Alligator mississippiensis: one gene and its partners. The protein of the gene in region 4 purifies or fractionates together with the protein of the main gene of each other region. This does not show direct contact. Links are inferred from orthologs where the notes say so. Each region holds a gene or a part of one and is shown on either strand. Other genes may lie near its edges. The genes, in order: ANKRD28, PPP6C, ANKRD44 and PPP6R1.

Region 1 (7,144 bases), about 110 Mb from region 4:
AGATGAAAGGGAGTGAAAGGGGGAGACAAGTAACATTAACTCCTTGGCAGCCACAGTGACAAGCCTCATTGGCCAAATCTGGCCCAGGAAGGTGGATGGTCCAGCCCACAAGAATCCCCATTGGCTGGTTCATCCACCTCCTAGGACCAGATGTTTAAAGCACCCCTGAGCTAAGATATACAAATTGAATATTGTGCAACTATTTGATTAAAAACTAATATAATAAACCTAGAATTTTCTTTCCTGCCATTTCTAATACTTGAATATAAACAAGCAAATGTTCAGTTTATGTACAAATGAACTGGAAATCTAAAGCCTAAATGTTAACCAACATTTAAAAATTCTTTTCTCCTTAAATAAATTTAGTAAAATGAGTTTTGCATTAAATATATTTATTTCTTTAGCTCCTCTCGTCAGCAGTATCACTACTGTACTTATATGTTATTTACAGGCCTCGTTCCTTTTAGTAAAATTAAGGTACCCAAATAAACAGTTTTGAACAGGTAAAATACAGGAAGGGACTGTGCTAAAACAAAATTAATCTGTACTTGGTAAAAGACACTTTTCTTTTTACCTGAACGTTAACATCTTCTTTCTTAAATATTAGTGCTCGAACTTCATCAGGATCCCCATTAAATATCGCTTGAACCAGCGGTGGCTGAAAAGAAAGACAATAAATTAAATTTATATAAACATACATTCCATTCCAATATTTACTTTACAAGTACATTTTTCTGATGACAACACACCACTAAAAATACCAAATTAAAATACCTCCAATACCCAAGGTAGTGAAGGGAGACAACAGAAACTACGAATGTTGGCTTGGAAGAAGCCAAAAACAAAATAAACCCTCAAGGAAAAAATGCATCATACTAATTTTGGACAAACCAATCAACCATTCATTTAAAAAAATTCATCTAGGTTTTTATAAGTCTACTGACAAGCTAAAAGAAATGCACTGAAAAAATCCTTGTTCAAAAGAAACATAATTAGTCTAGAACATATTACAGAGTATTCAGAAACAAGTATATCTGATATTCTTAAAGTTGAAGTAGTAATTCATATCTATTTGGATATATGATAAGAAAGCACAGAGTAACTGAAAGGTATAGTAACAAATGCTCATGGATTAGAGACACATTTATTACTAAATATAAAACTGGATTTCCTAGCCAGCATCACAAACTTCTAAGACCATATCATGTCAGAATCAAACAGCAAGTCAGTTAACCAAAGTAAAATTCTGTTGTAAAATTCATATTTTTTAAGAGAGCACTGAACATTTCTGCAAAGTAGCAGCAGCTACATTCATCTACAATCTGATTTAACTTTTTATTTTAGTATGTGACTGACATTGCTCAGAGTACATCATCTACTGTACCAGTTCTCAAAATACACACAGCTTATTACTGCATTATAATGGTTACATCAGTTTCTAAAGTGGTACTAAATAGATACACCAGTGAGGAGTGAGGAAATGTTTACCACAAATGTCATTTGCTCAGGCTTGCTAGAAACTGTATACTGCTATTAAAAATAAAAAGCTCCCATTTGTTAACTGTGTCACAAATAAGGAGTTACATTTAAAAAAGAGCCCTTGAAAGTTTTAATTTCATAAGTAAGTTTCAAACATCTCTCTGCTTAACATAGCTAGTTTACATTTTTAATTACAACTGCTCGTTCAGTGACAAAATAATCCAGCTACTACTTTGCATATTTATGTAAACCCTCTGACAAGCATCATGGGAACTTTGCCGCTCTTACAAACATTGAACATTTAACAAAACAGACAGGTCTTACCAACACACTTCCAGAAGGTGATGGACGCAGAGATAGGTTTTCCTGAGGTAATTTGGAAATAAATGTGGGAGAATCATCTTCTACCTCCTCCAAAACAACAATACAGACTCGACTCATTCGATCAGTTTGAAAATAAAAACCTATATTCAGAACAGCACTGTAGAAATCGCAGTCGAGGCAGCCCAGAAAACACTTTCTTCTGCCTATATACTCACAAACTTAAGTTCTGAACCTACTGCTGGTGTTTTAATACTAAAAAAGGACACTGTTGCACTTCCTTATATTTCATTTTCTATATTTAACACCCTGGGGTGCTCAAATGATCCTGTTTAAAAAAAATGTATTTTTTTCAAAATATGATTTCATCCAACATCTACACTACAACACTGAATTTGTGGAAAATGTATCAAAAATAGTCTTCAGTATAACTACATTACAGTAAAAATGTCATTGTAATAAATCTCTGTTACGTCCTTTCACCAGCAAATGTTTTTCTTAATATCGCTACTTCTACAGCATAAATTTATCCACACAGTAAAATCATTGTTGTAGACGACATGACACTATCCTGTGTAGAATGAAACAAGGAACAATTGCTCTGACAGAGATGATCACAGCTACACAGTCCCACAAGGTCAGTTTCCAATTAACAGTATCAGGCTTTCTGGTGACTGAAAAATAAACACAACTGTTCTTAATGGTTCAGGTTCTAATCATTTTGCAATTTGGCAACTTCATTTGTCAATGTCAAACACAGTCCACACGAATTTTTCAGCAGTCCTTCAGAACATGATGCTCAGAGGTTGACAATTCTTTCCCATGCAATAAAAATCTCTGCAATGTACAGCAAAGCTGCAGTACATTTACATGCGATGAGTCAGACCACAAGGGACAATGGAAGTCCTGGAATAATACTGCCCGTTTAATCCAGATTTCCCAAATGACAGAAATGTAGATAGCTTTATTCCATCAGTGACACGAACAACGCAGAAAATTCATTTTTTCCTCAATCAGGCAGTTGCTGTGGCTGCTCCAACAGGGAAGGCATTAGACAGAAATGCTGTTAAGGAAGACTGCTTCAGCAAAAACAAGCAAGCTACCAAGGCACAAGGGTTCAGATTACTGCCTTAGACTTCTGAAAAAGCAGTTCATCACTCAAGTGTTTCTTTTGATCACCATGTGAATACAGTTCCCATTATAGTCTTCACTCAGAGGAGAGGAAAGAAAAAAAAAAAAAAAAAAAAAAAAATCAGACTCCGTGCATCTTCTTTGAGCCAACTTCTTTATTCGAACATCTGTCTCTGTGCCAATTGGATTTTCCTCCGGCGTTCAACGTTCTTTTTATCAGTTTTTTTGCTGGTGATTTTTAGATTGTGTTGAGCAGTTCATGCAAAGCTACTGCCTCAATAGGTCATTAAAGAACACATTAACGGCACAAAAATCACACCCACAGAAGCATTCCAACTGAGCAATAGTCTAAAGAGCACAGACTGCAGACCTGCAAGATGAAATGCCTAGTAATGCTCACGTTACACTTACCAGAGAACTGAGCCACTGCTCTCAAATGCAACTTCCTCTAGCAAAAAAAAAAAAAAAAGGACTTTTGGGCAGTCTTCACATTTGGAATGTTTGTACCAGTTTGATGACTAATTCAGCTCAAACGTAAAAATTCTATAACTGAAGAAAGAGTGTGTGTTTAATATTTTCCACTAAAAGCCACAAGGAAATCTGGTGTACTGGCTGTGCCGTCTAACAATTTAGGCAAGTAAACAATTCCAACATTCTAACTACTTTCATATGTCACTGCACAGAGCAGCAAAGCCATTCTCATTTAACTCTTTGAAGACATCAAGAACATTTATTTGCATAAGTGTCCTAAGAGCTAAAATGAGAAAGATGAAAAGAAAAAGAAAAAAACTCTCTAAAAAAAACTACTACTTACCAAAACCATTTTTGTTGCAACAGAACACAAATGCACAGAGGTCTCAAAAACCAGAAGCCTGTAAAATAGTAGACCAAGTATAATCTACCCTTCGCAAACCTAATAAAGCTATCCAAAAAGTTGAATTTATATTTTGCCTTGAGTCTGCTTAAAGTAGGTGTACTGATCTGTGGGTGTATTATATAAATGCATCATGTGTCACAAAACTGTTGGAAATGCTTCTGTTACACAAACAGTGGGGTTTTGTTCATACTAGGCATTATGGAGACATTTTTGATGTTTCTCAATTGCTGATAAATTTGCAATCTGTAAATGGGGAACAGAATGAAAAACTCAATGACCCTAAGAAAATATTGTTACTTGGGTCTATTAACTAACCCAGGCAGAGGTTAGTTAATAGACTTGGGTCTATTAACTAACCCAGGCAGAGAAGGTTTCAAGCATTTTAACTAGTTCAGATACTTTTAGAATGTTAAGAATCAGAATATTATTCTCACAGCAGACTTTGATGCAAATATATATCATAGTTTGGTATTATTTTAAAATTATCTACAGTGCCTTTACCACTACATACTCAAATAGTTTCCTATACTTCCTAGAAAGAACTCTGAGGGAAGCCATGCTTTTAAACACTTTCAAATATTACCTTAGTTTGGTGCTCAAAGCTCAGGATTGGTAGCCTGGCAGAATAAAACCCAGATTTCTGGCTAACTAACTTTGGAAGAGCTCAACACAGTAACCAAATCTTCACATATGTACCACATAAACATTGTTTATTTACCTGTAAGGACAAGTTTTTATAAAAATTGCTTCAGAATAATAGCAATTTTATTTTTGAATGGGTTATTTTTAAAAGTTCACCAAGCAATGTCAGTGGATCTTCAATGACACATGATACTCACTGAAAGCTTTTTTTTAGTATTGTGTGTACAGGAAACAAGGTTTTTCTGATTTCTGTCTATAAATAATCTCCTGAAAAAAAGTGACCAATTTGTCTCTAAAAAAGAAACAAGAAACTCACTTAAACACCACCAGCATCCTCTTGCTCTACGTATGAGTACATAGTTCACCACAGCTCTACTGGCCAGGCCCATATAATATATGAAATTAGTCTTCAAAGACTGAGAAATATGTAAGGAAAGCACACAAAGAAAGAAAAGAAGTAACTGCAGATTACAATTATAAATTATAATTTAATATACTTGCTAGATGGAAACACTGTACAACTAGGCTTAATTTGATCTCAGACTTAGAAACTTACAGTTTATAATTCCTACAAATGATTCAAAACCTAGCTACATCAAGAATCCAGCAAGAAATCCAATTAGTCTATTTAATGCTATGAGTATGACGTCATGCTTAAGGAAAAGCAAAATGGTAATTTAACATTATAACTCTAAAACAAGTTATTAAAAAAAACACAAGGGCATGTTTTGACAGTAATTTTATAGCAGCACAGCTTCATAGTTGGTAGGGTAGGAAGGGACCTGAGGAGATGATCTAGTCCGACCCCCTGCCATGGCAGGAAAGAGTACTGGGGTCAAACGACCCCGGCCAGATGTTTGTCCAGCCTCCTTTTAAAGACCCCCAGGGTAGAAGCCAGCACCACTTCTTTTGGAAGTTGGTTCCAGGTCCTAGCCGCCCTGACAGTGAAATAGCACTTCCTAACGTCTAGCCTGAAACTACCCTCTGCTAGCTTGTGTCCGTTGTTTCTTGTAACTCCCGGGATTGCTTGGGGGAACAGGGACTCTCCCAATGCCTGCTGGTCCCCCTTGACTAGTTTGTAAACTGCCACTAGATCCCCTCTCAGCCTTCTCTTTTGGAGGCTGAACAGGTTCAGGTCCCTCAGCCTCTCCTCGTAGGGCCTGTCCTACTGACCCCAGATCATGCGGGTGGCCCTCCTTTGGACCCTCTCCATATTGGCCACATTGCTCCTAAAGTGTGGCACCCAGAACTGGATGCAGTACTCCAGCTGCGGCCTGACCAGTGTTGCGTAGAGGGGGAGGATCACCTCCTTGGACCTGCCTGAGATGCATCTGTGGATGCACGACAAGGTATGGTTGGCCTTCCTGACCGCGACCCCACACTGTCAGCCCAAGTTCATTGTGGCATCAATGACGACTCCAAGATCCTTTTCTGTCTCAACACTGGCGAGAAGGGAGTTCCCCAGCCTGTATGTGTGCCGCTGGTTCTTCCTCCCCAGGTGCAGTACTCTGCACTTGTCAGTGTCGAACCCCATTCTGTTCTCTTCAGCCCATCCCTGTAACCTGTGTAGATCCGCTTGCAGCCTGTTCCTTCCTTCTAGCGTACCCACTTCCCCCCACATCTTAGTGTCATCTGCGAACTTGAACAGGGTGCTTTCTACCCCCTCACCCAAGTCACTGATGAAGATGTTGAATAGTGTGGGCCTGAGGACCGAGCCTTGGGGAACCCCACTGCCCACATCCCTCCGGGTCAAATAAGAGCCATCCACCACCACCCTCTGGGTGTGGCCCTCCAGCCAGTTAGTGACCCATCTGACCTTGTAGGTATCAACACCAGTCTCCTAGTTTCTTACTGAGAATGGGGTGAGAGACCATGATGAAGGCCTTCCTGAAGTCCAGAAAGACTATATCCACTGCGACACCTGCATCCAAGGACTTGGTGACCTGGTTGTAGAAGGACACCAGATTGGTTTGACAAGACCTGCCCCTAATGAACCCATGCTGGTTGCCCCCGAGCATAACCTCCCCTGCTGGCCCTTCCTGGACATGTGCCAGGATAATTCTTTCAAAAAGCTTCCCCAGGACCGAGGTAAGACTCATGGGGTGGAGATCATCAGGACCTGCGGATTTAAATACATCTAGTTCCTCCAGAAGTTCCCTGACAATGTCCTCATTAATCCTAGGTCTGGGTGTGCCACCCACAGGGCCCTCGGGGGTGCCAGTGGGGGAGATATCCGGGTCCCTCCTCAGAAATATGGAGGCAAAGAAATTGTTGAATATGTCAGCTCTACTGTCAGGTGAGATGACCAGATTTCCTAGCGTGTCCTGCAGAGGCCCCATGTTACTTGGCACCTTCTTTTGCCCCCCTATATATTTGAAAAAGGATTTCTTGTTGTCCTTGATCTGGGTCGCTAGTCCCAGCTCCATTTCCACCTTGGCCTTCCTGACCACCCCCCTACATTCCCAAGCTACCATGGTATACTCCTCTCTTGTGATGGTCCCTCCCTTCCAATGGGTGTACGCCTCCTTTTTTAAGCTACTTAAGTAAAGTCATCCGTAATGGCTATTGACCATATTTTTCCATATTTGTTAAATTTTTAAAATGGTAGTATTAACTGTATTTTAACTGCAAAGATTGCAAATGCAATTATGCATTTCTCACATATAGCTTGTTGGGGGTTTTTTAAAGTTCAAT
Region 2 (7,121 bases), on a different chromosome or scaffold from region 4:
CTGCACAGGCAGCTGAATTACATAATATCCTTTTCCTGCCCAAATTGAGAGGAGACACAGCCTGCAGTAGAGCTGTAATGAACTAGGTTTAAAACAGCTCTAGGCAACCTGTACCTAGCAAGCAAGGATTCCTTTGCCATCTTAGGCCACTATGTCAAAATTCAGACCCATTTGTCCTTGCTGTCACATGCATCCCGTTATGGACTACACATTGTCCGAAACAGCTATTAGTGCCTGAAGGCTCTGCTGCAGGCTCCGTCACTTCAGCAACTGAGATGTCACTTCTAGGCGCATCTACTCCCTCAATATTTAAGTGGCGGCTCTGTTGCTTAATAGTGGTGAAACATCTATCCCTTAATGTCCATTTACTGCCCTACTCACAGCTTACCAGGTAAATCATTTTTGTTACTATGACAACACAGAATAAAACCAGGTCTAATGAGAATCTCAATATTAATTTTGCTTTCTAATAGGACTTTACAAGATACCAGAGTACTTCAAATATTACGCCTCGGCATTCTCAAGTGATTAACATACAACGTATCCGTGAAATTGGAATAAAGCTGAAGACCTGCTTAAAATTTTATGGAAGATCAGGGACTGGACCCCATTTCCACAACCCACTCTGCCAACAGGAAAGCTATATACACTAGCAGGAAAAAAAAAAATCAGATGTCCCTAAGGAAGATCTGCCTTGTTAACCAGTCTTACCATAAAATCCGTACACTTGTGTTATCTGCCTGCTTTCATGATTGCCCCGTAAAAGCGTGATACGATCAGGCCATTTAGCTTTTAGTGCAAGAAGGTAGGTGAAAGTCTCGAGACTATAGTAACCTCTGTCTACGAAGTCACCCTGTAAATTGAAAGTACGAATTTATAAGTAGAAAGCAAGTCAACTTGTCACATAGTAACGCATCTATTTCTAATGCCTCAATTTGCCAAAAAGTCTGACTCGGAATGTCAGTCTTCATCTCTGTTTTATCAACTCTGAAGACTACTTTAATTCCCAGCTAAGATTTAGATTATTCAAAATTTCACAGCTGAAAACAAATATTCCCCCTATGCTCCTATATTTCGGGTCATATAAGGTTGCACATGTTCTAAGACACATTCAGGATGTCCTTTTTGTTGGTATCATGAACTACAGGTTTTATTTAGCAAATGCTGTAATTTATTTCCTTTTGGGAGAGCCAGCACTGAATATTTCAAATTCTGCTGGACAAAGCAAATGCTACATGTTACCAGAAAAGAGGGTGAACAGAGTGGAAAGCTTTTTCACATGCCTAAGATGTTTACAAGCAAGAATTGTAAATGAAAATGAAAACCAAAAGAGAGCTGAAATCCCCTTTAGATCAGTATATTTTTAAAAAATGATTACCTTTTGCGTGATCAACAATTTTTACATACCATAAATATATAGTTTGTGTCAGGAACCTGACCTCCAGTTCTGAATAATTCACATAAGTCATAAAACTGTAAAGAAGAATTTGCACACATTAAAAATCTGCGTTAGCAGCAGGCTAACACGCTTTCAACAACAGTCATCACTTGGAAATAGGAAAGCACAAGATAGGAGTTGCCTGAAACAAAGTTCTACGAAGGCTGATAAACAGTCATGACCGGAACGGGGAGGCTGCCCTCTGTGCACTTTGTCAGTGTTAAAACCCCCCCAAAAACCAGCTGATTTTACTGGGCACAAACTGCTGTACAGCTGCAAATCCTGAATCAATCCTGCAAGCATAACATCCGAACCCAAATGGAGCTCCACCCTTTTGCGACGAGGCCCCGTTAGTACTGAACAGCTTCAGTCTAAACACCACCGCTCTCCAGCGGGTCGCTGGGTGGGAGGATTGCTCGGGAACGCTTCTGGGAGGGGCTCCCTTACTACGCACAGAGAAACGCTGAGAAAAATACGAGATATTTTTGCATTTCACTCCAACAGCAGAGCACACCAAATGCTCGAAGTCACTGAATGTCCATTAGCTAAACCTGGCTCCCCACCATACACCTCAGCTGCAGTTTGCCATCAGTCCTGGAAGAACGGTGGCTTCCTGCTCTCGGCGGGTCCGGCAGGAAACACGCACGAAACGCGGCACTGAAACGTTACCTGCCCGTGTATATCTCCACAGACCGTAACTGGCGTCGATACCGGCTGCACATTGGATTCTTCCAACAGTAGGTCACACACGTAATCGCATAAGCGCTACAGGGGGGAAAAAGAGTTTGTATGGATCGGTACGTCAGTGCACCCGCATTGTAGTAACAAATTAATTCACTGAAGCATTTGTGCTGTGCCTGTAAGCTGTAGATTCAGCTCCAAATCTCCACACAAAAATCAATCAATCAATCAATCAATTAAATTTTTAACATAACTGGACATAAATATATGACAAAGCTACAGGGGGAGCCCCCAAGCAGCCCGGACCTCTGCCAGCTGGCAAACAGCAAGCCACGGTTTCCCACGCTTTTCTCCTTTAAAGGAGAATCCATTTTTAAAGTCCGTTTGCAGCCCTTTAATACGTTCTTGCAACCCATCTCGTCCGGGCCTGCTCCGAGCAGGACCAGCCCAGCTCCACCGTCCCAGCCGGGGCGTTGTCTGGTTGGGTCGTGCTCAACCTCTGGCCCCGATGCACAAATGCTGCCCGTGCAGCCACGGTGCCCATCCTGCCCGTGCCCCACGGGCCAGCACGTTCGGGGCGCGGGAATGGTGGCCACTACCGTGTCCCCTTTCCCTTCCCCCACCACACACACACACACACACACACGGTGGGGGTCTTGCCCCAGGTGCCGGATGTGGCCCCCGGGCCCGATGCAGCTGGCTGGGCCCCGCCCCGGCGGCCCCCCCAGCCGCAAAGGCTGTGACAGGGCGAGGGCGCCTCACCTTGAGGTCGTTCTCGGGCAGGTACTTGCAGAGCCGCGCGATCTCCACGTACTTGTCCAGGTCCAGCGGCGCCATCTTGGAAGAGCGGCTCCGGGGCGCCGGAAGCGGGGCCCGGCACTTCCGGGGAGCGCTAAAATCCCGCCCCCACCCCCCCGTCGGCTCCTCTCGCAGAGGCCGGAAGTGGGGGGACTTCCGGAGCGAGCGTCGGCACAGCTGAGCGGCCGGCAGTGCCGGAAGCGGAAGTCGCTCGTCTCCCTCCACAGACTTCCGGTGCGCGTGAGGCGCGGTTGGGTTGGCTCGCCTCCCAGCCTGCTCCGCGGGGCACGCTGGGAAGTGTAGTCTTCCTGTCAGCGATGGGGCGGGCCGGGCGCCAGGCCCCTCGCTCGCCCAGGCCCATGCGGCTGCCGCTGCTGGAGCCCGGGGCGGCGCCCCGCCGGGCCGCCTGGTGAGTGCTCCCCGCCCCCGCGTCCCGCCGCGCCCCGCCCCGCCCCGCCCCGCCCTGCATCCCCTGACGCGCCCCGCGTGCCCTTGCAGGTACGCCCTGGCCCCGCGCGGCGACGGCCCCTGCGCCCGCGTCGGACACGGCTGCTGCTACTGGGCCCGGCCCGAGGCCCGCGGCGTCGTCGTGGTCGGGGGCGCCGACCCCGCCAACAGCTTCTCCGACGCCCGCCTCCTGGAGCTGGGTGAGCCGGGGGGGGGCGGGGCGCGGCCTAGCTGCTCACGAGGCCGACCGGATTTTTGTTGAAAATAACATTAAAAAAAAAAAAAAATTAAAAATAAAAAAAAAAAAAAATGAAATAGCGACTGGAACGGTTTGCCACAACACCAGCCTTGTGCGTTGCCTGGCAGGTGCACTCAGGTGGGCCCCGCCGCGCTGGACGGGGCTCCTGGCCCGGTACGAGCACGCCACCTTCGTCCCAGCCGGCCGCCCGCGCAGCCTGTGGGTGTTCGGCGGGGCCGACCAGGCGGGGAACAGGAGCAGCGTGCAGGTGCTGAATGCAGGTGAGCGCCCGGCCGCGCGGGAAGCGGATGGACGGTGTTGTGGGAACGCAGCCTGCTTCTAGACCGGTGCGTCGAGCAACCCTTGATCCGCTAAGCGTCGGCCTCCGGATTAAAACATCCTTGATTTACTTTGCTTTTTTTTAACCCACTCTGCTGCTCATGGCTAAATTCATAGACGCGAGGGCTGGAAGGGCCCTCGCGGGATCATCTGCCCCGGGGGGGGGAAGTCGGCTGGGTCGGGTCACCCCAGCAAGATGAGCATCCGGGGGTTAGACGGTCTTCTGATTTCCAGGTGAAACTTATTCGCAGCCAATGACGATTTTATTTTAATCAGAATTGGGAACCTGGGAAAGTCCTGAGGTGACTGGCACTCGGCCGCTCCCAAGGACGTTTCATTCATCGTCGGCTGTTGTAGGAGACTGCTTGTACGTGTTTGGAGGAGGAGATAAAGGAGCGGAGCCTGTTAAAGATCAACGGCTTCATGTTTTTGATACAGGTAACTGCAAGGATCCGAAGCTCTAAACGCGTTCGTCGTCTGTTTGGAGTGAATGTGCGTTACGCGGAGCTCAGGAACTAGATGCACAAATAAGACGTGCACGTTCAAATGCAGTGTGTTATTGGAAGCCTGATTTGTGGCCAGGAGTCCGTGTTAGGCTTTGTCTTCTGGTTCCCAAGTTGAATCTACACACAGGAAGCGTATATTTGTTCTTTCACCAACGTTGGCCTCTAGCTTAAAGTTCTTCTCCTGCCCTGGTGTTCCACCCCCCGCCCCCATACCTTTGCAAACAGCAGTCATATCCCCTCTCAGCTTTCACTTTTTGCTATGCTAAACAAGCCAACCTTTTTTTGTCTTTATAAGACAGGCTTTCCCTTTTCCCGATCACCCCCCAGCGCCCTTCCTTGTGCCTCCTTCAGCTAGAATTCACCCTTGATCCTGTGACCAAAACTGTACACGGTATTCCAGTTGAGCTCTCAACAGTATCACCTCTAGTGAAAATGCCTCTCTTGGAAACCCTGCTAGTTTAATGGCTTTACAGAACTTCAGCAAGTATCTTCCTAATGCCCGTATATGTTCCCATGTCTGTCTAGTCACTCTGACTTGGTCACAGCCAGAAGTGCACGGGGATCCTCCTGCATCTCGGCAAGGGCATGCAGTTGTTGCAGTTGGGAGCAGGCTCTTCTTGCACGGGGGGCTAGCTGGTGAAAAATTTTATGACGATCTCTTTTGCTTGGATACAAGTAAGTATGTGAGGCAGCTGTGTCTGCTTTATTAAATACTATGATGTAAATCACTGAACCGACCATTGCATAAGTGCAGTAAGTGGCTGGCTGCAGATGCGAGGGACTTTTTTTTCATTGTCATGCTTTCTGCATCTGTCTGAGCAGGCATACAATATGGTAAACGCACAGACGACTGCAGTCTGTAAGCAAACAATTTCTATTGGCATGCCCAAAGTGATGACAGTGTTTGCACAGATCTCATCAATATAGCTATTGATTTGTTTTTTCCTATTACAGGTGATATGAAGTGGGAAAAGGTACCAGCGACTGGCGATGTCCCAGGAGGACGGGCAGCACACTCAGCTGCTGCCTTTAAGGACCATTTTTACATTTTTGGTGGAGTAGACCCAACTGGGGCACTGGATACAATGTACAGATATCACATAGGTGGGCATTTTTTCCTTCACCTATACAAAGGTGTCCGTACTTAAGGAAGACATTAACCTCTTTGATAGGATTTACTACATTGGTCCTAGATTCCCTTGATCTCCTGTAGTTTTAATTCATGTATAATTTAACTGAAATCATTTGTATTATGTCAGTGTGGAACAGGAGTAATACCATAGTCTCTTGGGTCTAGCTACCTACTTTTGGGGGGAGAATTTGCATACTGGCTTATAATTTTGATGCCCCTGTCCTTTGTGAAGTTGTGGGCTGATTCCACAGTGAACTGTCTCTTTCTCTTTGGCTGCAGAAAAACAGCATTGGACACTGCTAGAATTTGATTCCCCCGTGCCCCCTGGAAGGCTGGACCATTCCATGTGCATAATTCCATGGCAAGTGTGTAACAGTGTGGAGAACAATGTTTCGGAAGCTGCAACAAACAGAGACAAATCCGAGAAGGAAGCAGCTGTTACAGTTGCTGAAGAAGGTGACCCAAGTCAGAACAAACAAAGTGGAAAAGGAAATGTAGAAGACACACTTGTGCATCTGTTCTTTGTGTTTGGGGGGATGGATACTCAAGGGGAAATTTACAGGGACTGTCTTGTATGTCTAGTTGAGTAATGCAGGGTTCACTGCTTGTATAGACCCATTGCCCTTTTTGTATGTTTAACTAGTAACACAGCTCCAATAAACAGGACTGCTGCAAGCTGACAGCATTGTGCTCAGTACACCTTGTTTAGAAAGTGCTCTGGCTAGAGGTCTTGAGTGATGATCACATTACTTCACCTGACTCAGATTCTCAAAACACCCCCCCCCCCCAAGTCTTGAGATAACAACTACATCCTCTAACAGGTGCTGCAGCTGTTTTCCATGTCCTTGCTAAACTCTGAACTCTGCCTCCTGTGAACAGGATTAGCCATAGAGCATGATCTGCAGTAGATAAACCCAGTCCCTTATTTTCACCCTTTCCCTGCAGCTTTTTATGTTGGTTTCTTGTCTTGAGGGTTTGCCTTCATGTAGAATTTTACCAACCTGGTTGTGTGTGGGGATGGCACTAGTAAGAGTGCTAAACTGGGGCCAGATATGCTTTAGATGTAGGGTAGGAGGATCTTGTACTGAGGAAATAATACATGGAGCAGCATTGCTCTTGTTCCTTTGAGGTGAGTACAAGCCATACAGGTTTCTAAAAAGCAAGACCAGCCTGTAGTGTTAAGCATAACTAAGCAGCAAATAAGACATCTAACTTTAGAAGTTGTTAGCTGTATAGAGATAAATAAAGTCTCTCTACTTTTAAGTAAGAGGCAAAAAGACCCTCACAGATGCACACCACAGATATGCAATACAGAAGTTACTGCTTTGACAGGCCATGGAAGCATTAGGTAGCAGTACAAATTAAGCCCTACATTTGTTTTCACAAGATCAACTTAAGGCTAGAATACTAAGCTAGCATGTTTGCACATATTCAGAAGTGAGCTTTACAGTGTTCCCCAAAACCTGCTAGATTGGCCAGTATTTTACATGCAAAGTGAGTGTGATGTATAATGGTGGGGGGGGGAAATAATATTAAATAAAG
Region 3 (7,928 bases), on a different chromosome or scaffold from region 4:
GTCAGAGAGGGGACTAAAACATCCTTCAGAATCATCTCCCTCTTCCTCCATCTTAAAAGATAAACAGAAAAACAATTACCTTTTACATTTAGAAAAAACACAGTAACTGTAAAAAATTGCTAGTCTGTAGCCAGCTCTATCAACAAACAGTACATTATATGTTGCTCTGTGAAACTAAAGGGCAGAGATGCAAACAAATATCCCAATTTCCTGGACAGTGGGCCAGTGAAGATTGACTGCAGATAGACTAGAACATCTCTGGATGAAGAAAGAAAAGTAAATAAAGTACCACCATACTGTATAAAAGGAAGTATCACTGTCATCAGTATGTAAAAAGCGGCATCCTGTTCCCTCCAAAGTTGTAGGAACACAGAGAGGTCAGAGTGACCATTATCTTGGCAAAATGAACTAAAACAAACGGTTCTAAGCCAAACAGATGCAAATTTCTACTTGGATACAAAATAAAAATCCCAATTAGAGCAGCAGCATCGGCAACTTAAGGTATGTCAGTGCCAACACAAAAGGACTGTATTAGAAAGCACTGCCCTAAAACGTGTCATACCTGCACAATGAACACTACACTCTAAACCAGGATACCTTTGTGCACACCAAAAAAGCATTTGGGAAGAGAGTGAGCTTACTGATGCAGGCACAACACTACATCATGGCAGCTCCATTACATATGGTTGGTGCATAGTTCATGAAGTAGCTATAGGCTAGAACAATCCTTTGATGGTATAAACATGCCATTTTATTTAATATTTCTGGAGACATCTCTAGGATCAGGAAGAGCTCTCAGTTATTTTGCCAAGCAACAAAATCTGTCCTGCTATCTTGAGACTAGCTATGAAGTCTCCCCTCCCTTCCCCAACCCCACCACTAACCCTCCCCACATAGTTAAATTTTCTCTTTCCTTAGAAAACAACAACTCTCACACAGCCTTGCCACAGTTTCCTATTGTTAGGTATCACTTACTTTTCATAGTTTCCTCATATCCAATTTTGTTCTGCTATATTAATAGCTTCTCTGCTATGGGCTCTGAAACATGACATTTAAGCTAAGAAAAACTCCACAGCTGACTGTGAACGCAGTTGCATTTTATTCTTACTTTGTATTTACACTTTCAAATGTCAATATTATTCCAGTTAATCAGAAATGATCAACAAAGAAACAACTGCTACCAAGTGGCTGGAAGTAGCCCAACATTGCTCAAACACTAACATGGAAGTAATTTAAAAACATCCTAAAGAGAATTACAGGCAGTCCCTTTGACTAGCCAGCTTACAGCAGGTAACAGATGTGCACTCTTCCATCCCCATTCTTATAGTGATGTTTCTAGTGCTTGTGATTCACCTGAAATTATACTTGAAATTAATGATTCTGAATGCATCTTGGCAAAGATCTTTTTAATTACTCCAAAGAACATTTAATTTTCTAGCTCAAGATAGGTTTGCTGCTAGGTCAACACATTCTTGGAAAGGTTTTTATTATATGGAACATGATTTTGCATAAAAATGTTCCTGTCCAATGACCTTTCTTCCATTAGTTGTGAATACCATAATATTTAAAGTATACACAACCCATTTAATGTTTTACCCAGCAATTGAGTGCATCTCCATAGCAACATTTCCCAGCAACCTTGAGCCCAAGGGATATAAAAACATTTCAAGAGCGGAACCTGAAAGCATGCAACCATCTTAATCTGTACAACAAATGCCATTTTTAAGAGCTAAAACGTTCAGGACAAAGAACGTCTTAGAAATGGCACGTGTTGCAAAATTTAATTTTTATCATTGGCGGGGTGGGAAATCCAGGGGATGTGGAAAAGCCAATATATTAAATCAGCATGTTTTAGGGTTTTAGCAAAGGACCCAAGAACCGATATTTACAAAGAGATCAGATCTCCAATCTTGTTTCCCCCTCTCTCTGCGCCTGATCTGATTCCTGTGCAAGTTGAAAGCAAGTCTTGACTTCACAGCAAGTCAAATGGAGTCCAATTTAACTAGACCCAAGTACTGCTCCCTAATGCTTCCTCCCCTCAACTGGACATTCGGACAATATTGGCTACAGAAGTTGAAGTCCCAAAGCAGTGCGCTATATCAGGCAAACCACTAGAATTAACTATGAATAAAATCATTACTATGTTGTTAAATGGAAAAGACAAAGGAAAAGGATAACAGTTTTAAAGCAGCTAAGCTACACCAGTATTCTGTCTCTTCTTTTTTTCCCCCCCCCCACCCGATGTCTTCCAGAGCTCACAGACTATAGTCAAAATGCCAGCAAAAATTGTTCATTTTAACATCCTGACTGTAATTCAACATGAAGGGGAAAAGCATAAGGCAAAAAGCTGCTGCAAAAAGGGCAGTTCAGTTTAAGATTTTCCACTGTGAAAATACTTAACCTCTGTTGTTTACAGCAGCTTACCATTGTTCAGGCTAGAAATAAAGCAAATCTGCAGTATAGTAATTCCTCTGTGTGCATGTCACTGGCCAAGCTAAAACTCCCTTACTTCTGCCATTTGCAAGCTCCAGTGAAATTATCTTAAGTATATTCATAGCTTCAAGAAAAGCCCCTGATCTGCACAGGCTCATTATAAAGGGAAATTCTACAGAGAATCGCGATATGCTGCTTTCAGCTATCTTCATTCACAACAACAGGGACTTGGAGAAAACTGTCCCTGATTGACCTGGACATTTTAAGTAATTATTGTGTACAGTTAAAAAAAATAACTTCCACATGCTGGAGACAGAATCCTAATTACTGACTTAAACTACTATTTAAGCTATGAATCTCTAGTTCCTAACTATTTTTTATTGTGTTGGTTTTAATTTTTTTATAAATGTTAAAGTCATGGACAGCTTATTTTGCTCATGGACTGCAATATAAATACATTTACAGAGTCACTTACCAGAGCATTGACATCCTCAGTTTTGTAGATCAACATCCGTATCTCCTCTGGATCACCACTGAAAATTGCTTGAACCAGTGGTGGCTGCCAAGGTAAAACACAAAGGAACAATAAAAAATGTGTTTTTACTGTTTTAATAGATGGACATTTTGGCTAAGTACAAACAGCGAAAAAGCCCGGCAGAATCAATTCAACCTTTGCAGGTTAATCGAAGCTGCACACACTGAACAGATATGCAAGCGAGCAGACATTCACCTTTGACTCCAGAGATGCAGCCAAATGCCCGCAGGGGCCCAGGCCAGAAGCTGGAGGGTGCAGTGACATACTGTGGGTCTCTGACACCTGGGGGCCAATATTTACATTTGCACCCCCCTCCTCCCCACCCTATTCCTGTCCCCAGCCGGAGATGCTGGTGGCAGAACCAGATACCCCATAGAGGGCCCAGCCAGTGCCCCTCCCAGACCACTGCCCAGGGGCATGGCCCCCCCATCCCCCTGTCAATATGCCACTGGGGGCAGTGCTAGGGCACATCTCCCTACTCACTGCAGCAAACAGCTTTGGTCAAGGCTAGCCCACCCACCCTGTAAAGGGAGGTTTGTGAGGGAGGTACAAGGCATTCTGGGATGCTGGGTGACTGAGTTAACTTGAATCTGGAGGGGATCTGGGACATAAGTTCAATAAACCAATATAACCTAAATCAGTTAAATCTGATGCTACATTCATCCGGGTTCATCTTAAACTGGGTTTTGAAGTGTCATTGATAGGGTTAAGATGACATTGTGTGCGGGGTACGTAGACCCCAGCCCCAGAGAGGGGCAGCTTTGAGACGCCCCAGTGCGGGCACGACGAGCCCCAGAGAGGGGGCAATATTACTAGGAAGCCCAGTGCAGGCACAACGAGCCCCGAGAGAGGGGGCAGTGTTATTAGGAAGCCCAGGACAGGCACAGCAAGCCCTAGAGAGGGGGTAATATTATTAGGAGGCCCAGTGCGGGTGCAGTGAGCCTCTGAAGAACGGCTAGTGCTGCGGCAAACCCCAGAGCAGGGTAGAGTGCTGCGGTTGCCCCGGTGAGAGGGGGTAGCAGCACGGTGTGCCCTGAGAGAAGGGGAGAGCAGCGCGGTGGGCCTGAGAGTCAGGGGGTATTGCTGGGAAGTCCCCAGAGTGGGCGCAGAGAGCCCCAGACGGGGCGGTATTTTAGAGGCCTGAGTGTGGGCGCAGGGAGAGCCCCAGGAAGGGGGCATTACCGAGAAGCCCAGCACGGGTGTAGCAGGTCCCAAGCGGGGGAGCTATTGCGAAGGCCCCAGAGAGGGGCAACATTACAAGGAGGCCCAGAGAGTGGGCAAGAGCACGCAGAGGAGGCCCGAGAGACGGGCAATATATATTTATAAAAAGACATACCAGCGTCTTTCCCATCAGCGAGGCTTGGGGCATGGTATTAGGGGTGGTAGAAGCCACGCGTAGCCCATAAGGCTAGGGTGCCCCAAAACACCCAGGGGTGCAGGATAAGACCCACGAGGGGTCCAGGAGTGTACATGCCCAAGGAGACGCAAGGCAGCCTCCCTATTATATTTACCAGGAAGATGTGGCGGGCGAGAATTTGAGGGTGCCCTTGGGCCGACTTGGCATGGAGAGAGGGCCTTAAGGAGACCACGTCCTTCCTGAAGGACCCCGCCGTGACAGCAAGGCTCTATATGTTTTGAAAAGATAGCTAAAACATCATCATAAAACAACAGAACCAACAGCTACTCATTGCTCTGTCATGGAAGTTAGCTAACTAACATAACATCAGCACAAGTACACAATGCACAATGACAAAATTATCCGCATAATGACTATGGAGATATTGTGCTATATAAACCCATAGCAGGTGTAATCACTTGTGCTTTTTCCAGCAGAAAAATAGGAGTAGCTTAAAACAATTCTATGACCTTGTACTCAAGTATACAAAAATAGGAATTTGTACATAACAGGCATTGCAGCCTCATCTTACACTAACAGCTTTGAGAAGCCAGTCAATTGTTATGAAGTAAGAAAGCACACAAAAATTAAGTATTTATTTCTTCATGTCTAATTTCCATTAAAATACCAAACAGCAGCAGCAAAAGTTTACAACCTCAGTAGAGCTTTAAGCTCTACTGAAACCTGACTTTGCTGCCAAATGAGACATACACAAAGCAACTTGGATTAGTCGGTGTTCACCTGCCTAAACACCTGATACCCATTTTCAGTACATTAGTTACCACCCAGAATTCTATTATAATGAATGAGAACTCTGGTGGCCAAGGTGTGTTTTTCTTCAGTGACAAAATTGTACTTCACACACTTTTTTAACTAACCACCTGTTTTTGTGGGGGAGGGGATGCAGGGCAGGGTGGGACCAGAATTAGAATTTGTGGCATTTTTTCCCCTTTAACTTTTAACAGACAAGGGAGATTTTTTTCCAAGTAGATGCCAGAGCACTCAGAGTTTGTAAAAAGGCATTTTGTTGTTATGTTTATCTTGAAATAAATATTTTAAATAAATTGTGATAATAAAGATCTTTAGCTCAGACACTGCATAAAACTAAAAGAAGTCATCCTATATATTAAAATGCAAGGGCTGCATCTGCCTATGCATTTACACAATGCTTAACAGAAGAGTGAAGTGCTGGATTGGGTACTACTGTACTACTACTACTATAGATATTAATTATTATAACAACAACATTAATGCTAGTGTTCATTTGAGAAACACCGACAGCCAATAATGCTCTTCTGAAGAAAAATGACAATACTATTACTAGGCATACCAGAAAAAACTTAAAGCCAGAATTCATGACAGAGTCTGTTGCTCATGGGAAAAATTAATAGATATCACCAGAGAAGATTTTATTTTAAGAAGTCCTCAAATCCTGTAATGGGTGACATTTTTGCTTCAATTAGAAGAGGACAGAGTGCTGCGAATTCTTAAATTGAAAAGATCCATGGTAAGACAGCTTGGCATTTGTCTTGCTTCATTCTGCTACAACACATTTGGATCAGATATCCAATTTTACAGCAAATGTTTGACCTTTATAATTAGCATCAGTTGTTTAACATGGAGAACAGCAGCAGAATAAAGATACATATTTTCAAGGTGGGGTGCTTAAAATACCCTACTTTTCAAATTCTACACAGATATTTATAGTCTGTTTGACATAACATCAGGATTTACTCTGCCTAAAAACTAGTTATGATTTTTTTGTATATTCATTTACAAAGCCTTTGATGAAGATAAAGAGCTGCCACATATGCTTTAATTTTCCTATCACTTTGAATGGAATTCACTCTTAACAAACATAATGATTCTTTTTATGAATTAAAACAGTGAGAGAGAAAGATATACTCCATGGTTTGGAAAGAGCTGTTGAAAAGAATATAGGTAAATATCTACCTTCAGTTAGTCCCATGGAACCCCCTTGGCTTTGTTGTGCTTATATGTACTTTGATGGGTTTGCTTTTATTGCCAGGTGATACTGAAATGCACAACACAGAATTGTAAATGATACCCTAGCCAGGAGTGGGTATAGGTGTGGGTGTGTAGAAGATTCGAAGGCATATGGAATGAAGGGGAAGTGTTGCATTCAGAAAGGAAAATACCCAAAATATTTTGTGGTATTATTGTTGAGATCTGAAGTCAGAATGAAGAACCTGAAGTGCTGGTGGGTGGTATGGGAAACTCTGGAACAGACTCTGGAACAGACTCCCAGCAGGGGTGGTGCAGGCACCTGCCCTGTAGATCTTCAAAAGGAGCCTAGACACACACCTTGCTGGGGTTATTTGACCCCAGCAGTCTTACCTGCCCAGAGCAGGGGGGCTGGATCCAATGATCTCAAGAGGTCCCTTCCAGCCCTAAACTTCTGAGAATCTGTGAAAGTACTCCTCTATTCAGTGCCTGACAGTCACAGAATGCAACTTGTGTAAGATGAGTGAGGGCTTGTGTGCAGATGAGTGAGGGCTGCTGATGGATGTTGAAAGACCTGAACCAATGATGTTCTTGATCTTCACCAACTGTTACAGGCCCCATCCCTGTACACCCTGCCCCTAAATTCCTACCCCCCCTCCCTCCGAGCCCCAGAAGCTCGGTGAAATGGATTTGCAGGTTGGATTTCGCCTGCAGGCCACAGATTTGAGACCCCTGCGTTAGCACATTATCTCACAGGAAAGGTAACATGCATTGAATATTTTGTCTTGATCGGATAATCCTATCTGGGATTTCTCGGTTAGTCTGCCTTTTTAACTCATGGGCAGCAAGGAGTTTTAAGGATCCTCACAAAGTCTTGCAGAGACTTAGAGGATGTTCAGTTCCCATCTTGCTACATCTTGCAAGATGTAGCATTTGCTACAGTGAAATATCATTTGGTCCTTTGAGTGAAAAGGATTACATGTATACTGAACCTTCATTTTTCCTATTTGTGCCAAATCAAACTGCTGAAGTTGTGACTTTGATGTTTGCAGGTTCTTATTTCTTCTACTAAAAAGATAATGCAGTGAAGTGAAGTAGGTGATTATTTCGCAGCAGTATTGATTTTGTCAGTGTTTATCTATTCCTGTCACACGGGTTTACTTTTCCAGAGATGCCCCTATTAATCAAAATTATAAGGTCGCCTTCAGTGTCACATTAAATACATATATTCTCATACAGCAATAGCTATGAATAGACTACTTCTCCTTTTGGTTATATATTAGTTCTGGTTACAGAGTTTCCTTCTTTTTGGTTGTAATTAAATGTGCTTTATAGATGGCATGACTTTTTACTAATGCAGGCATGAAGTGAACTGCTACGATGTTTCCAAGATGTTTTTTGGATACTTCAAGCATATTGCTAGGTTGCTCCTTAGTTCGCTCATATTTTAAAGAGTTTTCCCCCACATGCTTCAAATACTTGCATTTCCAAATATGTTTTACAGCACTCTGAAGTACTTTCACAGATTTTGCTCCCCTCTAATTGCTCTCCTCTTGAATGACTGTGTTCAGGGGATGGGGGGAGGCAGTGGGAAACAGG
Region 4 (7,677 bases):
ATGGGCCCTGTACCACTTATCTGGCCCACAGGGCTGAAAGATCGAGCACTCCTGTTGTAGACCATGTTGTCACCCTTATGTGTACTTCCCCCTTAGATTTCTGCAAGCTAGATGGGATGCGGCTGCTGGCCCATCAGTACCTGGAGCACCCGGACCCGGAGCTCCGGTGGCGTGCTGCCCACTTAGTGGGCACCTGCAGCCAGAACGTGCCTACAGTGCAGGAGCAGGCCCTGGCACTGGGCTGCATGCGGAAGCTGCTGCGCCTGCTGGACCATGACCCTGGCGAGATGGTGCGCATCAAGGCACTCTTTGCCATCTCCTGTGAGTCTACTGGCCGGGGGCAGAGTCTGGGTAGTGGAATGGGACAGGAGCATTTTCCCCTTCAAGGGGTGCTGCCTCTCTGAAAGGGGGCACTAGCTAGCTCAGTGGATGGGAAGAAGGCAAGGCCCTTTGCTGTCCAAAGAGCACAGGCCGTGGAGCTCAGGGGTACTGGCAGACTTAGAGGTGGGGATGGGGCAGAGGCATTTTTCCTTCTAGGGGGCACTGGCAGGCTCAGGGGTGGGGATACAGCATGGGCTTTGTAATGTAGGCAAGGGAAGTGGCGGGGGAGAGTCCATCCAGCCCTTGCTGATGGAGTTTCTGCCCCTCTTTCCCCACATGGCAGGCCTGGTGCGTGCCCAGGAGGCTGGGCTGCTACAGTTCCTGAGGCTGGACGGCTTCTCTGTGCTAATGCGGGCGATGCAGAGTCCTGTGCAGAAGCTTAAGGTGAAATCGGCCTTCCTCCTACAGAACCTGCTCCTGGATCACCCCGAGCACAAAGGTGAGGGAGCAGGGGTGAGGAAAAACTGGGAACCCTGTTTACCACACTAGCACTATTATCTGCCTCTGACTGTGCCGTGCAACCCAGACTTCCCTGGCTCCATCCCTGAGTTTGATGCTATGCCCCCCCCCCCCCCCCCCCCCCCCCCCCCCCCCCCCCCCCCTCCTCCGGTCTGTGCCTCTTCTCCCCAGCCTGGTGTTAGGGTGGCACACCTTCCATTCCCTGGGCAGTGCCCCTTCCCCTTCGACCCAGCACTAGGGATGCACCCTCAATCCTCCCAGCTCAACACTAAAGGGATGCTGATGTCCCTGACTACTGCCCATCCTCTCTGCAGAGACCCTGTGCTCCATGGGGATGGTTCAGCAGCTGGTGGCCCTAATCCACTCTGAGCACAGCTCCTTCCATGAGCACGTTTTGGGTGCCCTCTGCAGGTGAGATGGGGAAGGGGCCTGGAATCCTGGGGTGTATCCCAGCTCTGGGAAGGGAATCTGGTGGGTTAGGGCTGGAACATGGAAATCAGGACTCCTGGATTCTATCCCAGCTTGGGAAGGAGTGAGTCTGGTGGGTTAGGGCCAGGGGCTAGGAATTGGGTCACCTGAGTTATTTCCCAGCTCTGGGAGGGGAGTGAGGCCTAGCAGGTTAAAGGCTGACAGCCTGGACTCCTGGATTCTCTTTGCTGGAAGATGGTGCAGGGTGGGGGAGAATGGCAGTAGGTTGTGTACTGGGCCTGACTCCCCCATCCACACCCCCCTGCACTGTAGCCTGGTGACAGACTTCCCTCAGGGTGTATGGGAGTGTCGGGAGCCCCAGCTGGGGCTAGAGGAGCTGCTGCGGGCTCGCTGCCAACTGCTGCAGGATCAGGAGGAGTTTCAGGTATGGGTCCAAAGTGGGGAAAGGAAAGGAGTCTCTTGGTCAGAATGGTAAGATCTAGGTACCTTGGGGCTGCCACACTCCAGCTCAGCCCCTTCTCTGCACAAGGGGGTACCACCATGCTTCTTCCCCCTACCTCAGGGCAAAGAGGGTGGGGGTCTCTCTTCCTCAGCCTGGCCCTAATGGGGGGCCACCCTGTGTCCCCTTAACCCTATGCTGAGACTCGCCTGTGCCCTTGGCACTAGGGAGTTGGTGTTCTGCCACTTGCTGGTGGTAGAGAGTATGGAAAATGCCCCAGTTCCTCATCTGGCACTAGGGGGTGTTATGAGCCCTACTCTTTCTCTGGTACTAGGGGACACCATCTTCACTAGCCTGGCAATAGGGAGGGACAGAGAGAATACCACTGGAATTCCCTCCCCAAGCTGTGCCCTGGCTCCCTGCTCTGCCCTGCCCTGCCCTGCCCACAACAAGGTGGTGCCCCTTAGTGCTGCCCTGGGGCACTGGGGCCAGCAGTAGCTGTGAAAGGCGGGTGCCTCCTGCCCTGCACCTTTGAGTCTCCCATCCAAGTCGTAACCCAGCCAACCCTGCTTATCTTTCCATGCTGGTTGATAAGAGATCAGAGCATCCCTGATGAGCTAAATAGGAGGAGTAGGTGGCAGCATAGTGTGTATTTAACCCCTTGCTCTCCCCACAGGAGGAGCTGGAGTTCTGTGAGCGGCTGCTACGAATATGCTTCCAGACCCCACCTGAGGAGAGCAGCATGGATCGGTGACATCCCCCGCCCTCCCCCAGCTCAGCAGGGGAGCCCCCTACCCTCCCAGCATGCAGCCCCCAGCTCCTGCCCCTTCATGGCAGCATGAGACACCAGAACCTGCCAAGGGGCCAGGCTGGACCAGAGCTCTCTGCTGGGGTGGGTGTGGCTTATTACCCTAATGAGGGGGTGGCACCTGGCACATGGTCCCCTCCACACAAATCTACTGCTTCCCAACCCCTGCCCTCACAGTCCTTCCCCTCCTCCACTACCCCTAGCCCTCAGGCAGACCGCCCACTCTTTATCCAGATCCCAGCAGCCCCTTTCTTCCTTCTTTCCCCCTCCCATCTCTGATGCTGAGTCAGGTCTCATTCTGCTAGCAAGATCCAGCTGCATGTTGTTAACCTCTGACTTATACTGGGACTGGCTGAGGAAGGGGAGCTTTCCACTTCAGGGGGCATCATATTTCATCTGCCTCCAGGCCAGCTTGGAGTGGGGCAGGAGGCTTTACCTTTCACTGGGGGAACCAGCCCCTCTCTGACATCACCTTTTAAGTCTTGAAGTCATCCCACCTTGAAGGAAGATGACGTGTGAGTTCAGAGAACTGGGCAAAGCAGCTCTATTCCTTGCCATGCTATCCTTGTGGGGGTGAGGAAGTGAGGCAGCCATATTGATGGGAGGGGTCCCACCTTTCAAGTCCTGGGGATTCCCCAGCAGCCCTCTTCCCCCTCTACCTGTTCATCTGTTCTCTGCTTGTTGCCAGTGGTTTTCTAATAAAGTTTCTGGTTTCAGTGATTGCTTTTCTGCCCTCCATGGATGCTGTAGGCCACAAGGACATCACTGGGACTTCAGAGCTGTTCAGGGGGAAGAAAATGATTGGTATGGGGGGCACATGGACTGGGGGCAGAGAATGAGACAGGGGATTTTCCCCTCTGGGTTGCTGCCCCCACTTCCCTCCAAGGCAGGGGCTCTGGCTGGCTCTGGGGGTGGGGATGGGGCAAGGGCTGGTCCCTTTTAGGTGGTGTTGCTCTGCCCCTACCTCACATTTATTCTGTGGTATGAGTTACTGGGTCTCAGCTTGGCTCCCAGCCCAGTGGCAAGTGGCTCCATCTTGTGGAGAACCCTGGGGCTCCCATCATTGCCTCTGCCTCAAAGCAAGGGCTCCCCAGGGCCTGGAAGTCGGTAGCAGTTTCACAGTGAGCTGCCCTCAGCCAGGATCTGACCTGGGGTGCCATACAGACAGCTGCCATGATGCTCTTGAATATCCCCTGCTGCACCTCTTGCTAGGGAGAGGGTAGGCTGGGAGAGGCCTGCCTCAGGCATTTATTACAAAGATCTTCATGGCACCCAGATCTGTGCGCCCAGTGCTCATTGGGGGAGTGGGGGTGCTTTGGGTATCACAGAATGATGTCACAGATGGAGCAGCTGATGTAATCAGCTCAGGAAGAGTGAGGACGTTACACACGTATAGCACAGGCTCACTGGAAAAGTCATGTCCTGAATGGAAGATTGTAGTACAGTGAGGATGTTCTGAGCAATGACAGCATGGCTGTGATGTCATGATTAGTGATGATGTCACAACACTCAGGGCAGTGGTGGTGCATTCAGTAATTCATAAGGCAGGAGTGCCATGCCTGAGGTAGCAGCTGTCATTCCTGTAGTAATGATGTCAGTGCTCTAATTACTTCACTGAGCTGATATCAGGTGAGATAGCATGGTGACGTCATAGAGGGAGGGATGATGTCACTTAGCTGTGACGCCACGCCAAACCAGGCCGTTAGACTTGCACGATGATGCTTTTAAGTATACATTTCCAATTTCAGAGCTCTTCGCAAATTCTTTAAAGAGCAAGCAGCAATTATCGCGCACGCCCGTGCGGGGTAGCATGTGGGACATAAGTGGGCATGCGCAGTGCCAGGAGACCCGGCGCAGGGGAAGGCAGGTCCGCGATTGGCTAGTGCTCAATGAAGGGCACCGGGACCAGAGCCTGAGTGCGCATGTACGTGGTGAAAAGGCGCATGCATGATTTCCTGAGGCCACCTGCAAGACCATTTGCGCATGCGTTGCTTCGTTGGGCGGGAGGAGTAAAACCCGCACATGCGCACGCCTAGTAGGCACTACCGGCCCGGAAGAGTTGGGGGCGGGAAAGTACATATGCGCGGCTCTTGGACACGGGCCGGAGAGACAGGTGCGCATGCGCGCGGGGAGGTGGGGCCACCCTGCCGCCGCATGCGCATTCCTCCGCCTACGACCCGGATCCTTCCCGAGAGAAGTGGTTGGCCGGCGCATGCGCGCTGCTCCGGGGGAGGGGGTTTGGCAGGGAGGCAGAGCGGCCACTGGTTCTGGGCGCAGGGCATTGTGGGATCGCGGCGGAGCCAGGAGCTCCAGAGGGGCCCGGTAAGCTTCCGCTCTCGGTCGCCGCCATGTTACGCCCCCCCCCGGGGCCTTCCACCCTGCCTGAGGGGCCTGGGCTGGGCTCTCACTCGGGGGCCCAGCCTGGGAGACTCGCAGGCACCCCCACCCATGGGGGGTGCCCTCGCCTCGGGGTGGGGGCGGGTCCCTGTGTCCCTACCCGCAGCCCTCCTCCCCCATGGGCTGCTCCTGCTGCCCTTGGAGGGGGGGGCGCACAGCTCAGCCCCCACCTCTGCTTGGGGGGGCTGCATTGGGGACTGCTCCAGGGCATGGGGCAGCCCCTCCCCACTTAGCTGAGGGGCGGGGGGTCAGCCTCAGAGCATAGGCTGGGCCTTGCTCCACCCTGGTGGGGGCTGGCTCACTGGGGGCAGCCCTAGGGCAGGGCTAGGTCCCTGACCCCCCTTGCCTGGGAGGCAGCTTCATAGGGGGTGCAGCCCCAGGATTAGCCCCTGGCCCCCCCCCAGCTGGAAGTTGCCTTTGTTGGGAGGGGGTAGGGGGTGCAAGGGGTTTAGGTTTCAGGGTTCAAGTGCTCTGCTCGTTGATCCAGCAAGGGGGGATGGGGGTGGCGGCAGGTTAGAGCAGAGGGCTGGAGCCAGCTTCGCTGTCTGGGAGCACTGGCAGGGAAAGCAGGACAGAGTATCCTGTCTGATTATCCTTGTCCGCCCACTGGAAGGGGCTGCCTGGGTCCTGCCACCCCTCGGAGAGCTGCCCTCCTAGGGGCAGGTTGGGAGCCAGGGTACCTGGGCACTATTCTAGCCCTGGGAGAAAGGAGGGCCTGGTGGGTTAGAGCAGTCAGGGACTGGCAGGCAGGATGCTTGGGCCTGGAAGGGAACTAGGGTTAGTGGCTTAGAGTGGGGTAAAATAGGGGGAGGTAGGGGTTCTCTGCTGTTGCTTTTCTGCTTTATTTGGAGGGGCAGATCTCTGTAGCATGCCTCAGTTTCTCAACCTCTGAAAGGGGGGTGCCAGCACCATTGTACTCCTTAACCAGAAAGGACGGGGGCCTGGGGGAGCAGGCAGGGCTTGGTGTGTGTGTGAACAGGCATTGACATCTGTTGGTGAGAGGCTTGGGGGGGAGGGGCAGCAGTGACTGTGACCTGCAGGCAGCTTCTGGCATCTGTACCCCCGGGCTGCCTGTGCCCAGCAGGACAGCTGTCCAGAGGGGTAGGCAGGACCCAGCCAGCCCCTCCAGAGGTGAGGCAGCATTGGCAGATGGTCTGGTTTTTCCTGGGCCTCTCTCATGGTGCTACCAGCCAGCTGAGCCTGGTAAAGCCTGTGACTGTTATGCTGCTGGACATGGTGTGGGCTTGGGGAGGTTTTGCATCCAGGTGATGGAGAAGTGCCCTGTCTAGGAGGGGGCTGGAAGCAGGGTACTGACCCATTGAGTGTATAGGGAGCTGTCCCCAACCTTTAGCTAGGGGGTGAGGCATGAGCCAGGAGCCTTCCTTGCCTGGGGAGTGCTGGCCCTGATCAAGGGAGGGAATGGAGTACAGAGGGAGGTCTAAGAGTACAGCCTAGGAGTCTCAAGGTCAGATCTTGCTGCTGACTTGCATGGCAACCCCTGGGTGGAGGAAGTTAGGGAATTCTCTCTGCCTTAGTTTTCCTCTGTGGACAAGAAGTCCACTTTCTGGTCCAGCAGCTGTACTGATGGGGATGGATCTGCCCCACAGGAAGTGCAGAGGGGAAGGCTTCTGTGCCTCCAATGAGCCTCTTTAGGGTCTCCAGTGGGCAGGGAAGAGATGTGTTACTAGGGGTGCTGGACTCTGCTGGCTATGTTGGGTGGGGACTGTGCTGGGACTGGAGGGCCCTGGCTGTGCCATGTACTGCCTGGGGACAGCCTGCCTGGCCTGGTATGAAAGGGGGCACTGCTAGAGACCCAGTCTGGTTGGGGATTGGGTGTGTCTATGTGGGGAGGGGGGTGGGAGTCAGTGAGCTGCCCAGAGCTCCCCCATTCTCCAAGGGGTGTGAGACCCACCCCAATTAGACACCCGCTAAAGGACATTGCCTACCTCAGAGTGTTAAGGCAGGGGCAGATGGTTGCCCCCATGTTAGGGGGGCAGCTCAGAGATCTGAGAGAGAGGAGAAGGCCCTGCCCTCTCCTCAGCTCTCCGCAAAACTGCTGCTCAACTGTCTTTGCAAACCCATTTCCTGTAGCTTCCGTTCTCTGCTCAGCTCACAGCACTGCCTGCCTGGGTGCAGGGGGGTGGGGAGATGGGAGGCTGGGGACCTGCTCAGCCAGCAGCTGGGACTTGACGGGGCTAAGGAGCATTTTTGCTGCCCTGCCTTCCTCCTCCTCCCAGCTCAGAGGAGCTGTCCCCAGGCATGACTTGCTGGAACCTGACTATGGAAGGGGTAAGGTTCCATGTCCTCATACTGGGCTCAGGACTCTGGCACTACTCGTCACCTTCATGACACTCCTTATGATAACCCCGCAGAAGCCTGGGGATTGCAGGGGTTGAGATCAGATCCAGACCTGCCTCTGGGCCATGGCCTGATCCAGCTGTGGGACTCTGGGCCCCTCCTGGGCTGTCTCAGTTTAAGCCAAGCACCAGCTCCGGTTGTATATCTGGGCGGTGCCCAGCAGGCTAGAGGTTGGGTCGGAGCTGGTGTTTTGCCTGGTGTGAGGGGGGCCTCTAGTTTGGGAAGGCATCACTGTGAAGTGGGGGGCCATGATCCTAGGGGGCTCCCTGGCAGAATGGAGGTCCCCATTGCAGCCTGCAGGGGTGCTGTGTGCAGGACCCTGATGTAATAGTCCCAAGTCTGAACTGGAGAGGGAGGTTCTTTAGCATCTCATGGGATGGGGTCCCTAGACTTAGCTGGGGAGAGG

What was found.
Region 1: the proteins of PPP6R1 (region 4) and ANKRD28 purify together in Homo sapiens (co-immunoprecipitation; 4 studies listed by BioGRID and IntAct, with this or other methods). This does not show direct contact. The link is inferred for Alligator mississippiensis from reciprocal best matches to the Homo sapiens genes PPP6R1 and ANKRD28.
Region 2: the proteins of PPP6R1 (region 4) and PPP6C purify together in Homo sapiens (affinity purification with mass spectrometry; 11 studies listed by BioGRID and IntAct, with this or other methods). This does not show direct contact. The link is inferred for Alligator mississippiensis from reciprocal best matches to the Homo sapiens genes PPP6R1 and PPP6C.
Region 3: the proteins of PPP6R1 (region 4) and ANKRD44 purify together in Homo sapiens (co-immunoprecipitation; 5 studies listed by BioGRID and IntAct, counting the BioPlex papers as one, with this or other methods). This does not show direct contact. The link is inferred for Alligator mississippiensis from reciprocal best matches to the Homo sapiens genes PPP6R1 and ANKRD44.

What each region holds. Positions count from the first base shown.
Region 1 is NC_081828.1:153,582,256-153,589,399, reverse strand, and holds the start of ANKRD28 (serine/threonine-protein phosphatase 6 regulatory ankyrin repeat subunit A), read right to left. Parts: upstream 3,003-7,144; 5' UTR 1,921-3,002; coding exon 1,804-1,920; intron 659-1,803; coding exon 575-658; intron 1-574. UniProt on the Homo sapiens protein: Regulatory subunit of protein phosphatase 6 (PP6) that may be involved in the recognition of phosphoprotein substrates. Involved in the PP6-mediated dephosphorylation of NFKBIE opposing its degradation in response to TNF-alpha.
Region 2 is NC_081835.1:66,441,425-66,448,545, forward strand, and holds the start of PPP6C (serine/threonine-protein phosphatase 6 catalytic subunit), read right to left. Parts: upstream 3,012-7,121; 5' UTR 2,957-3,011; coding exon 2,882-2,956; intron 2,204-2,881; coding exon 2,108-2,203; intron 1,474-2,107; coding exon 1,408-1,473; intron 854-1,407; coding exon 712-853; intron 1-711. Other genes in the region: RABEPK (rab9 effector protein with kelch motifs), read left to right, coding at 3,235-3,326, 3,416-3,564, 3,731-3,883, 4,218-4,379, 4,973-5,122, 5,402-5,551, 5,859-6,169.
Region 3 is NC_081827.1:192,927,783-192,935,710, reverse strand, and holds the start of ANKRD44 (serine/threonine-protein phosphatase 6 regulatory ankyrin repeat subunit B), read right to left. Parts: upstream 3,018-7,928; 5' UTR 2,945-3,017; coding exon 2,909-2,944; intron 1-2,908. UniProt on the Homo sapiens protein: Putative regulatory subunit of protein phosphatase 6 (PP6) that may be involved in the recognition of phosphoprotein substrates.
Region 4 is NC_081828.1:39,350,246-39,357,922, forward strand, and holds the start of PPP6R1 (serine/threonine-protein phosphatase 6 regulatory subunit 1), read left to right. Parts: upstream 1-4,661; 5' UTR 4,662-4,670; coding exon 4,671-4,838; intron 4,839-7,677. Other genes in the region: HSPBP1 (hsp70-binding protein 1), read left to right, coding at 97-321, 665-820, 1,155-1,251, 1,582-1,693, 2,385-2,462. UniProt on the Homo sapiens protein: Regulatory subunit of protein phosphatase 6 (PP6). May function as a scaffolding PP6 subunit. Involved in the PP6-mediated dephosphorylation of NFKBIE opposing its degradation in response to TNF-alpha.